Linked DNA regions of Callithrix jacchus. The protein of the gene in region 3 purifies or fractionates together with the protein of the main gene of each other region. This does not show direct contact. Links are inferred from orthologs where the notes say so. Each region holds a gene or a part of one and is shown on either strand. Other genes may lie near its edges.

Region 1 (4,295 bases), on a different chromosome or scaffold from region 3:
TAGCTGTGTGTGGTAGCGGGCGCCCATAATCCCAGCTACTCGGGAGGCTGAGGCAGGAGAACTGCTTGAAACCTGGATGCAGAAGTCGCAATGAGCCGAGATCGGGCCATTGCACTCCAGCCTGGGCAACAAGAGTGAAACTCTGTTTCAAAATAAATAAATAAAATGAAAAATAACGTCTTGTGAAAAATAGTATTGCCTCAATCAGTTATATAATTGGGCTGGTCCCGTTACCTAGCAGCCTCAAATTCTATCACATGTACACAACACACAGTGGGAGAAAGCAGCACATTAATCTATGAGAGTAAAAGCTGAGTACTGTGGCTGGCTATTCACCAAGTCTTCATAAACATACCACATACCAAACTGTGGCCCACCAGAAAGGCCCTTGGCCATTAGGAAAATCATAACCTAATATATGCAAATAAAAAACACATACTGACTTAATTAGAACTGTTCTACATGTATGCATAGGTAACATGCACACATACATGGTCTGTTTGTACATACATGCACATACAGCCATCTCTGACACTGGGGTCATACCATTTCCACTTCTTTTTATGTTTCTGAATATAACACACTACGTGGAATTAAATCAATTCTTTGAATTGAAAGCTGTGATTAAAACCCAGTACTCATTCAGAATCCTAAACATAACAGTTCTCCTTACCACTGGGTAAACGTCCATGGTTCACCAAAGGAAATCTCAAATTTAAGGTTCTAATTCACTTGAAAACTAGCATTAATTTTTTTAAAAGCATCTAAAACTACCAAAAATCCATTCCGTTTTAATATCTTACAAATTCAACATCCAATTTTTACTCACCAATTTAGTTCTTCATGTCCTTAGTCCTTTCCCCTTACTCTTTTTTTAAGACAGGTATTTTTATTTCACTCTCCACATTCTGTGAAGCCCTAAAAATACTTTCAAATATGTTCCTTTTAAATGAACAAAGTCCTGTCGTCCTATAACTTAATAATGACTTAGCCGGTTTTCCTAGAAGCCAACCATGGCTATGAAATTCTCCAGGGAGGGACCAAGGCCAACAAGAAGGGGAAAAAAGCCTGAGAGTGCTGCGAGGTACCCCTCAAAGGAAACAAACAACCAAAAATGTTTCCGTATTTTATTAAAGATGATGCTGGACTCTCGTTCCCCACAGTACCAAAGATGCCACATAGAGTATTCTTGCTCAGAAGAGCGAAGCAATTAATCTAGAGGACGAAGTAACGATGTTGAACGCTGGTAAATCAAAAAAATTAGGAGAGAGGAGTGGAAAAGACGACGCGGCGGCGCTGTGCGGTCTCGGAGCAGCTCTCCAGGAAAGGCTTCTCGCTTGGGCAGCTGCCGCCAGGCTCGGGTGCGCGGCCAGGCTGGAGGTGGCCCGCGCGGGCGCGTTTTCCACCCTGCCGGGCTCCCGCCCCATGCCCCAGCCCCCGCCCCCGCCCCGCGCACACGCCCACCGCCCTGCGCAGCCCGCGACCCAGGCTCCCGCCACGCACCCAAGTCACGATCGACCCGAGCGGAAAGTTTCGAATCCAAACCCGAGAGCCGAATCGCACAGGTCTCGGGGCTGAACTCGCGCCAGGAACACGCCCGCGGCGAACCACTTGACAACCAGCTCTGGTTCTCAGCAGAAAGGCCGACAGGCGGGGTCCGGGGAGGAAGGGGAGGCGAGACACACGCCCTCGCGCACACTCGGCCCCTCCGCCTCCTCCGCCCGCGTCTCAGGTGGGAGCCGCGCAGCCGCCGCACGCCAGCACCCGGCGCGCCGGAGCCGGGCGGCGGGCGGCGGACCTCGGGGCCCCTCCCGGGAAGGGCCGCGACCCCCAGGCCCGCTCGGCGCTCAGGGGAGGGGTGCGCACGCCCCGCCCGGCGCCTCCCCGCCGGTCTCCCGCCCGTCAGCGGCGACCCGGGGCGGGAAGCCGCGGGGTCAAGGCTCCGGGATGCTCGGGCTCCGGCCGCAGCCCGCGCGCCCCTCCCCCGCCGCCGCCCCTCCCCCCGGGCCGCCCGCGGGGCGCAGGAGCCGAGCGCCGGCGTCCCAGGGGACCAGCCCGCCAGCCGGCCCGGGAACCCGGGCAACTTTCCCCTGCGCGGCCGCGGGCGCCCCCAACGGGGCGGGCGTGGGGACCGGGGACAGGCGCAGCGTGGACTCACTTTTTCGGATGTTTCTCTCTTTTCGGCCTCCGCTTTCGGGCCTGAATGGCCAGCACTGGGGGAAGAGAAGACACACATTAACGGTCGGGCCGCCCACCCGGCCTGGCCGCGTGGCGAGGAGTGGGCGCGCCGCTGGCCACTCACCTTTCCGGGAGCTCATTCCGACGCGGCGGAAGCGGGGCGGGGGGCTTCGCGGCGGCGGCGGCGGCGACGCGGGCGCCGAGACGAGCCGGGCTCCAGCCTCCACTCGCTCCGCCGGCCGGGAGGAGGCGGGAACCGCGCCTGCGCCGCCGCCGCCGCCGCTCCCGCGGGGGCCCAGCAAGACCCGCCCCCGGCCGGCCCCGCCCCCTCCCCGCCCCCACCCGCAGGCCGCGGGGGTCGGGACCCCCGCGCCGCTAGCCCCGCGCCCCCGCCCCACCCACCTGTGCAGGAGTGGCCGCGGCCCATGGCCGCGCTGGCGCTCGGCCTCCCCGGCCCCAGCCCGCAGCCCGGGCCTCCGCTTCCTGCGCCCCTGCGGCTGGCCCAGGCCGCCCGCCTCTCCCGGGCACCCTGCCCGCGGGACCCTCCCTCCCCGCAGCGGCCTCTCTCCGCACCCCGGCCGGTCGCGCCGCCCGCCTCTCCATGCGCCCTTCCTTGGCCGGCGCCTCCGCGAGTCTCGCACCACCTCTCTTCCCGCGGCCTCTTCTCTCCTTTTGCTCCTCTACATCCTTGCATCCCCATGAGCGCCGCTTCCTCCTTTCTGGCGGGCGTGGTAAGGGCACCCGACCAAAAGCTGGGAAACCTGAGTCCGCGATTCGCAGTGTGACCTTGGAGAAGTCGTTTTCTCTCTCACCTCTACCTGCCCTTCAGGATTGTACGAGTGTAATGAAGGAAAAGATACGGAGAGCATTCAAAGTAGGATAAAAGTCTTGCACATAAATTGAAGCCCGGTTCCGTAAACACCATGTGTATAACAATTCAAAACAACAATCACACCAAGTAGTTATTTTCTGCATCCTGCAATAAGGAAACTGAGTCACAACGAGGCTAAACAGTTTAACCAGCCAGGATCGAAATTCAGCCCTGGCTGGCCCCAAACTCCACCTTACCAGGCTGCCTACAAAAGATCTGAATCAAGTTTATAGTGGCACAAAAAGATAACTGCAATGTTCTCTTCTTTATGTAAATAATTACAATAGTTTTTGGAAGATACACATCCTGACCATTAACTTCTTTAGTTACACAACTGTATCTTTAACTGACAAGGTGGCTTACTGTAAGGATGTTAAACCAGACAGAATGGAAAAGGCCGCTTGGATTTTGAAGAGCCCTTAACTTTTTATTTTCAAAAATATCAAACCCTATAGAAAAGTTACAAGGAAAATATAATCAACAGTCAAATTAACCCATATTCACCAATTTTTATTTTTATTTTTGAGATGGAGTCTCACTCTGTCGCCCAGCTGGAATGCAGTGGCACAAACTTGGCTCAGTGTAACCTGCCTCTCTCCTGGGTTCAAGCGATTCTCCTACCTGAGCCTCTTGAGTAGCTGGGACTACAGGCGCACCCCAACATTGCCCGGCTAATTTTTTGTATTTTTAGTAGATATGGGGTTTCACAGTGTTAGCCAGGATGGTCTCCATCTCCTGACCTCGTGATCTACCCTCTTCTGCCTCCCAGAGTGCTGGGATTACAGACGTGAGCCACCACACCGGCCACCAATTTTTAACATTCTGCCACATATGCTATCTGTCTGTGTGTATGGTTTATTTTTGCTGAATCATTTGAGTTTTTGCAGTTACCCTTTATCCCTAAATATCAATACATATCTACTAAGAACAAAGGTAATCTCCTACATAATCAGAATTCCATGATCACTCCAAGAAACTTCCATACTAATTCAATGTAATCATCTGTAACACACAGGCCATATTCGATTTTGCAAAATATCCCAGTAATATCACTTGTAGCTGATTTTCTTTTTTTCCTAATTCAGGCTACCATTAAGAATCATCCACTGAATTTGTCATGTCTTTTTAAATCCTTTAGTCTAGAATCATTCTTGGTTTTGTTTTTTGGTTTTCTTTCTATTTATTTATTTACTTTGAAATGGAATCTCACTTTATCACCCAGGCTAGAGGGCAGTGGTGCAATCTC
Region 2 (3,645 bases), on a different chromosome or scaffold from region 3:
ACCTACAGCGAAAACAGGGACTGCTACCTTGCCCAAACCTCCATGGGCCACATGAGCGTCACCAGATCAGGGCCCCCTTCAACACCCCACTGCCTGCACTCCGACAGCCCTTCTGTAACTGCAAACGGCTGGGAATGACTAAGACACCTTGTTCCTCTGACATGACAGAGGCCAAAGCCCCCAGACAACATTCCCGCTCCCTCCAATCCACAACCAACCAACCAATTCTTCTAGCTCTCTGGATACACAGCAGTGGTGAGACCCCCGCACACCCACCTTCTTGGCAGAAAGGGCCAGTTTTTTGGCTGGCGGAGGAGACATGGTGCTCGGTGGCTCGGCAGCAGCACTGCTCAGGACAGGAGACTTCAGTTTTACCGTCTTCGGGTCCACTCCATTGGGCGGCATTTTGGAGTGACCAGCAGTGCAACAATTTCTTTCCTGAGAATCGCAGAGACGGGCAGCTCCACTCCTGGAGGCCTGCGGGACCTTGGAGGAGTCACTGCTGACAGAGTGCTCTGGGCTGGAGCTGCTGGAGCCCCTCCTCTCGAGGCCAGCGCTCTCGTCGTTCCCCTTCAACCCATGCCCGTTGGCAGTGGCTGCAGCCCGGAGCTTAGGTGAGGTAGAGAGGACACCATCCCTGCTGTCCCAGGAGCCCTGACTTTGGATCCCAGATCTGCTGCTACTCGAGTTGCTGGTAGCAGGTGGCCCCTGAGCAGTTCTGGGGGACGGGGAAGAGGGCTGTGGAGGAGCTGGCTTCTTCACCTTCTTCCCAGGGTCATCTAGGAGGGTCGGCATGTGTGTGGGTGTCTGGGAGAGTTTAGGGGAAGGGGACCCTGAGGACAGCTTTGGAAGAACATAGCCGTTCTGGGACTTCAGGCCCACCATGGGGCCACTCCTGGAAACAGGCACCCCAATCTCGTCAGTGGTGTGCAGCTTCTTCATCGTCCCGGAGTCTTGTCGCTGAAGGAGAGCAAAGCAGAAAACACAACTGAGGAAGTCCCAGCTGGGCCACGCTTTCACAAGGCCACAGCGTATCTCAGTAGCAGGCATGACCTCTGACTGGCAAGTTCAAGATAAACTATTTATGTGGACACTTGGTAAAGACACTTTGGCTTCTCTGAACAATTCTGGTGTTTCGTGACACCCCAAAGAACTGGGACTACAGGCGTGTGCCACCACACCAGGCAAATTTTTGTATTTTTGGCAGAGATGGGGTTTTGCCACGTTGACCAGGCTCATCTCGAATTCCTGACCTCAAGCAATCCATCTGCCTCAGCCTCTAGAAGTGCTGGGATTACAGGTGTGAACCACCACACCTGACCTGAATATATATCTTCATGGCCATCTTTACTATGAAAGCAGTACATTTTCCAAGATTTGAGAAAGAGAACTAAGTATAAGGGAAAACAATTTAGCAAAGTTCTACCACTTAAACACAACCATGCATCCACGCACTAGTGCTTTCTTCTGGTCTTTTCTTCCGAATGGCTCTGGCCTGCAGAGTTACATCCCAGTTTTATCTTAATGCTATTATCGCAAGCATTTTTATAGACTATAACTCTCAATAAATGTGTTTAAGACAGGGTCTTGCTCTGTCGCCCAGGCTGCAGCCTCAACCTTCTGGACTCCAGAGATCCTCCCACGTCAGCTGCCCAAGTAGTTGTGACTATCGGGAGTAGGCCACCACACCGGAATACTTTTTATTTATTTTGTAGAGATGGGGGTCTTCCTATGTTGCCCTGGCTGGCACCCTCGAACTCCTGAGCTCAAGCAGTCCTTCCATCCTGGCCTCTCAAAAGTACTGGGATTACAGCCCTGAGCAATGCAACCTGACTGCAGGCCCGTCTTTCATGTTTTACTGGCAACCATCTCACTGTATGGTTAATTTATATAAGCTATAGTCTCCAACTGTTGAAATTAACAATACAGTACAGTGTATGTGTGTCTATCTGTTATCCTTCAGAGCACATATTACAACTGCATGGAAGTAACTTGTTATTCTCCGTGCAGATGCTGAAGGCCCGCCTCCCCTGCTTTACCATGAGGCTGTACCTGTGCCTCTTCTGTTCCTGCTGCAGCCCTCACCAGCAACTCAACGGTCTGGTATGCAGTCAGTGCTTAAAAAATATTTTTTTGAGCTTTTCCTGTGCTTAGTACGCCATGCTAATTTTCCAGAAATGGAATTACGAGGCTATGAATATTTTCATGAAACCTGATGTGTACTGCCAAACTGCATTGACTATACTCCAGCAACATACATTTTGCAAAACATTTGCTGATCTGACACTGCTTTGGCCATGACCACTTTAACATTCGTATTCTCTGCACATGCACTAGGGTGATCGTCATTTAAATGCGTTCTTGTGTTTACAAATGCTAACCTTTTGTCCAAAATATTTAAAAGGTGTTATTGTTTCATTTGTATTTGTAATAATTTATGTACAAAAATGTCAATCTTAATCAATTTGTAATTTTTCTATATTTTCTCCTTCAGTTTTAAGCATATAAAGTCTTCTTCCCTCTCCCAGAGGTTTAATAAGAACATACTTCTATTTTCTCCTGAGTTTTGTTTTGCTCATTATATTCTTTATTAATGTCTTCTAAAAGGAATTCATCTTTCCATGGCACTGCAAAGCCTTTTCACTAGCTGGACATTTCTGTACACATCAGGACTTGCACCATGTCATTTAGAGTAAAACGACTCTTGTTCAATTGCAGTGTATTTGGAAAATGACATTTGTCATGAAAATGCTAATGGTCAGGGAGTAGCACTGCAGATGTGCCTGACACAGGGACTCTCCTGAAGCAGACCTTCCGCCTCGGGCATCACTCTGCCTGTGGAGTTACTGTGACACATGAGGTTTCCTTTGTACTTTTTTTGAGACAGGGTGTCATTCTGTTGTCCAGGCTGAAGTGCAGTGGCACAACGATGGCTCACTACAGCCTTGACCTCCTGTGCTTAAGCAATCCTCCTGCCTCAACCTCCCAAGCAGCTGGGACCACAGATATGCACCAACACACCTGGCTAATTTTTGTACTTTTCTTGGAGATGGGGGTCTTTCTATGTTGCCCAGACTGCTTCTTTTTTTTTTTTTTGAGATGGAGTCCCGCTCTGTCACCCAGACTGGAGTGCAGTGGCATGATGTCAGCTCACTGTAACCTCCACCTCTCAGGTTCAAGTGATTCTCCTACCCCAGCCTCTTGAGTAGCTCGGATTACAGGTGTGCGCCACCACGCCTAGCTAATTTTTGCATTTTTAGTAGAGATAGGGTCTCACCATGTTGGCCAAGCTGGTCTTGAACTCCTGACCGCAAATGATCCATCCGCCTTGGCCTCCCAAAGTGCTGGGATTCCAGGTGTGAGCCACAGTGCCTGGCCTCCCTTTTCTTTTTTTTTTTGAGACAAGGTCTCACTCTGTCACCTTGCCTGGAGTTCACCAGCGTGATCATGGCTCACTGCCGAGAGCCTCAAACTCCCAGGCTCACGTGATCCTCCCACATCAGCTCACTGAATATTCTCTGTGGAGATGGTGATCTGTGTTGTACAGGCTGCTTTTTAAATCTGTTTTGAGACAGGGTCTCTTTCTGTTGCCCAGGCTGGTGTAGAGTGGTGTGACTCACTGCAGCCTTAATCTCTGGCTCAAGT
Region 3 (3,645 bases):
GGAGTCCCGGTGTACCTACACAGAGAGTCTCGGGTGGTCACCTGGTCCAGGCCATACTTCTTGGGAACGGGAAGCATACGGGTAGGGGAGGCATCAGTTGTGACTTTAGGCTTGTAAGTTCTCAGACCAAAACGTGCACATCCACACACACGGCACTGCAGCCAAGCAGAGGCCAGTGAGAGGCATCAGAGTTTTAGACTCTCGGGTTGTCCTTGTAATCCATGTTGCAATTTCACTATCCACAGAAACACGACCCTCCTCTGAGTAGCATCCCTTGTCTGCATTATAAGAAAATGAAGGACAATGAGGAACGAGAGCAAAGCAGTGACCTCACCCCCAGTGGGGACGTGTCCCCTGTCAAGCCCCTGAGCCGATCTGCAGAGCTGGAGTTCCCCCTGGATGAGCCTGATTCTATGGGTGCTGACCCGGGGCCTCCAGATGAGAAAGATTCACTAGGGGCTGAGGCAGCCCCTGGGGCCCTGGGGCAGGTGAAGGCCAAAGTCGAGGTGTGCAAAGACGAATCTGTTGGTGAGTTTTGTTACGGAGTCCTCTTCTTGCCTTCTGGGACCCATAAGCCTTATTTTTCTAATGAAGGCCATCATTGTTGCCAGTTCCTAGTCATACTTGTGAGCAAGGGGCTGCACACCTCCACTCTTTATGTGGTTGAAGGCCTGTCTTCCTGCCCTTACATGAACCTGCCTGGGTATAGCACGCCAGGCTCCTGTGCCTGGGCTCTGTGGGGCCCACATGGCTGAGGCTGCTAGGGAGATGGCTGCTGGCACTGTCAGTGGGCCTTGTTCTTACTGGTTGCTTATATGATCTTTCCCGAAGTCTTGCTTTTTCAGTAGGATGTGCTCATGTGGCATTGTTTTGATTTATCTTGATGAGCTTAGTGAGCCTCTTTAGTCCGCGACTCAGTGTTGGGAAACTGTAACCATTCTATGGACCGTTCCCTCTTCAGTCCTGCAGTTGCTTGCTGAATGTGTGTGGTGTTTTGCATTCTCTCTCTCATGTCTTTTAGCCTAGTCCCACCATCCAAGTCTAAGTTCTCTCTTCAGTGGTGGCAGGTCTCTGAGCCTGCCTGCTGGATTATTTTCAAAGAGCACTTTCCATTTTCTGGGTTTCTGGTTGTCTGCATCTCACTACCCAGCCTGTCTTCACAACTCTGTGGAATGTGGGGTGCCCTAGAAGAGCTATGTGGTGGGGGCTGTTGCTGAGGATGGGGAAGTGGCCTGGGAAGAAATGTGACAAATGTGAGGCCCTGTGCAGGGAGCTGCTTGGGTTGTGTTGCTGAGTATAGAGGTGGCCAGGACGGCTGGAGGGAAAAAAGTGAGGTTGTCAGCGAGGTAGCGGGCACTTGGCATTCCGGTACCTGTTTTGATACACGGAGGAAGTCCTGAAGGCCATCTGACTTTTTAAAATTTATTTTAATTTTTAATTATTTTTTTTTTTTTAAAGATGGGGTTTCTCCATGTTGGTAAGGCTGGTCTCGAACTCCTGACCTCAGGTGATCCACCCACCTTGGCCCCCCAAAGTGCTGGGATTACAGGCGTGAGCCACCACACCCGGCCAGCCATCTGACTTTTCTAAGCTTTCTTTTTTACTTTTCATTTTTATATTCTTGTTCTTGCCCCAAATAAAGTAAAAGAACATCTCAGAAATTCATCTAGAAGGGACCTGCCAGAATCATCTAAGCTGGTGTAGGGAGGCCTTCGTTCTTTGCTTCCCTCCCCTTTGAAAGGGACAAGGAAGGGAAATAGTGTTGTGTGGCCTGGGGCCCCAGGCACTGGGCTTTGAGAGCCTGACTTCTATGTTGGACGTTAAGTAATTTGGTTCTCTGGTAAATCTGGGACAGATCTTGAGGAATTTCGAAGCTACCTGGAGAAGCGTTTTGACTTTGAGCAAGTTACTGTGAAAAAATTCAGGACTTGGGCTGAGCGGCGGCAATTTAATCGAGAAATGAAGCGGAAGCAGGCAGAGTCCGAGAGGCCCATCTTGCCAGCCAATCAGAAGCTCATTACTTTATCAGTGCAAGATGCACCCACCAAGAAAGGTATAAGCCTCTGTATTTTAACATCAGCAGATTGGTTATGCTGTTATTTCTAATGTGATGTGTTGAGGGCATGTTTTATGAGTTGCATTTCATTCGGAGCTTATGTTTATCCCATGAATACAGGGCTCTGCCACATTCACGGTGGTAAGCCCCTAATTATTGACATGGTAACAGGAAGCTGTGTGCTGGCTTGTGGCACTTCTTCACACTTGCTGAGATGGTCCTTTTTGTCACAGAGTTTGTAATTAACCCCAACGGAAAATCTGAGGTCTGCATCCTGCACGAGTACATGCAGCGTGTCCTCAAGGTCCGCCCTGTCTATAATTTCTTTGAATGTGGTAAGTTTGACCTTCTCCATTTCAGTCCTAAAGAATCACAAGGCATCACTTCAGTCAGGACTAGGGAGGCAGGTGCTGACCGCGAACCCTACTCTCCTGGGTTGGGAGGGAAGGGAAGGGTAAAGAGCAGTGCGCTGCAGATGGGTGGCTTATCTCCTTCAGCGTTGTCCCACCTGTGTGGGTGGCTCTACTTTCCCCTTCCAGTCTGTCCCCTCTCCCCACCTTCCGCATCCTGCCACATCTGCCTTGCTTGAGGCTTGGAAATGGACAGGCTTATTGTGAGCAAGGCCTCCCCGCCGTGCACTGTGTCCTTTCCCTGATTGCCTGGTGCCCACAGGTGTCTGAAGGGTTGTTGGACATGCATTTCCCACCAGCTCTGTCTTCCTTGGGCACCCTTACCACACCTTTGTGAAGACCAGTCTTCTTCCCCTTGGAAGCTGGATCCTGGGGATCACTCATTCTTTGGGTGGTGTTTTTTTTGGCAGGCCACATCTTGTGCTTTCCCACTCCGACAGTCTGGTGTCCATCTTTTTTTTTTTTTTTGAGATGGAGTTTCGCCTTATTGCCAGGCTGGAGAGCAGTGGCGCAATCTTGGCTCACTGCAACCTCTGCCTCCCGGGTTCAAGTGATTTCTCTTGCCTCAGCCTCCCGAGTAGCTGGGACTACAGGTGCGCGCCACCATGCCCAGCTAATTTTTGTATTTTTAATAGAGACAGGGTTTCACCATGTTGTCCATGATGGTCTCGATCTCTTGACCTTGTGATCTGCCTGCCTCAAGCTCCCAAAGTGCTTGTATTATAGGCGTGAGCCACCACGCCCAACCCCTGTGTCCATGTTTCATAGACTTCAGTTACTGTCCCGGGCGGCTCTGCCCCTAGCCTCCTGCTGCCCTTCTGGCTGACCATCTCCCAGGTGCTCATTTCCCTCCACTTTCCCAGCTGTGCCCTTTGCTGCTGCCTGTCTGCTACCCTTCTCCAGTCCCAGGGAGCCCCAGGTCTCTACAGTCAAGCATAGGCTCACTCTCTGCAGGGACAGTCCCTGACTGTACCTTGTCTGTTGGCGTGGGCAGATCATGCACACACTTTTAATGTCTTGACTAATATGTTTTAAAACAAGTAATTTTAATTTTAAGAGAACCCAAGTGAGCCTTTTGGTGCTTCGGTGACCATTGATGGTGTGACTTACGGATCTGGAACTGCAAGCAGCAAAAAACTTGCGAAGAATAAAGCTGGTAATGTGCTTGCTTGAGTGTCA

The links.
Region 1: the proteins of DGCR8 (region 3) and SRPK2 purify together in Homo sapiens (affinity purification with mass spectrometry; 3 studies listed by BioGRID and IntAct, with this or other methods). This does not show direct contact. The link is inferred for Callithrix jacchus from reciprocal best matches to the Homo sapiens genes DGCR8 and SRPK2.
Region 2: the proteins of DGCR8 (region 3) and USP36 purify together in Homo sapiens (affinity purification with western blotting; 3 studies listed by BioGRID, with this or other methods). This does not show direct contact. The link is inferred for Callithrix jacchus from reciprocal best matches to the Homo sapiens genes DGCR8 and USP36.

What each region holds. Positions count from the first base shown.
Region 1 is NC_133512.1:75,770,720-75,775,014, forward strand, and holds the start of SRPK2 (SRSF protein kinase 2), read right to left. Parts: upstream 2,879-4,295; coding exon 2,581-2,878; intron 2,437-2,580; exon of another isoform or gene 2,319-2,436; coding exon of another isoform or gene 2,303-2,318; intron 2,214-2,302; coding exon 2,159-2,213; intron 1,643-2,158; exon of another isoform or gene 1,504-1,642; intron 1-1,503. UniProt on the Homo sapiens protein: Serine/arginine-rich protein-specific kinase which specifically phosphorylates its substrates at serine residues located in regions rich in arginine/serine dipeptides, known as RS domains and is involved in the phosphorylation of SR splicing factors and the regulation of splicing.
Region 2 is NC_133506.1:134,566,796-134,570,440, forward strand, and holds part of USP36 (ubiquitin carboxyl-terminal hydrolase 36), read right to left. Parts: intron 961-3,645; coding exon 277-960; intron 1-276. UniProt on the Homo sapiens protein: Deubiquitinase essential for the regulation of nucleolar structure and function. Required for cell and organism viability.
Region 3 is NC_133502.1:211,864,627-211,868,271, forward strand, and holds part of DGCR8 (microprocessor complex subunit DGCR8), read left to right. Parts: coding exon 1-81; intron 82-245; coding exon 246-528; intron 529-1,855; coding exon 1,856-2,053; intron 2,054-2,289; coding exon 2,290-2,391; intron 2,392-3,523; coding exon 3,524-3,622; intron 3,623-3,645.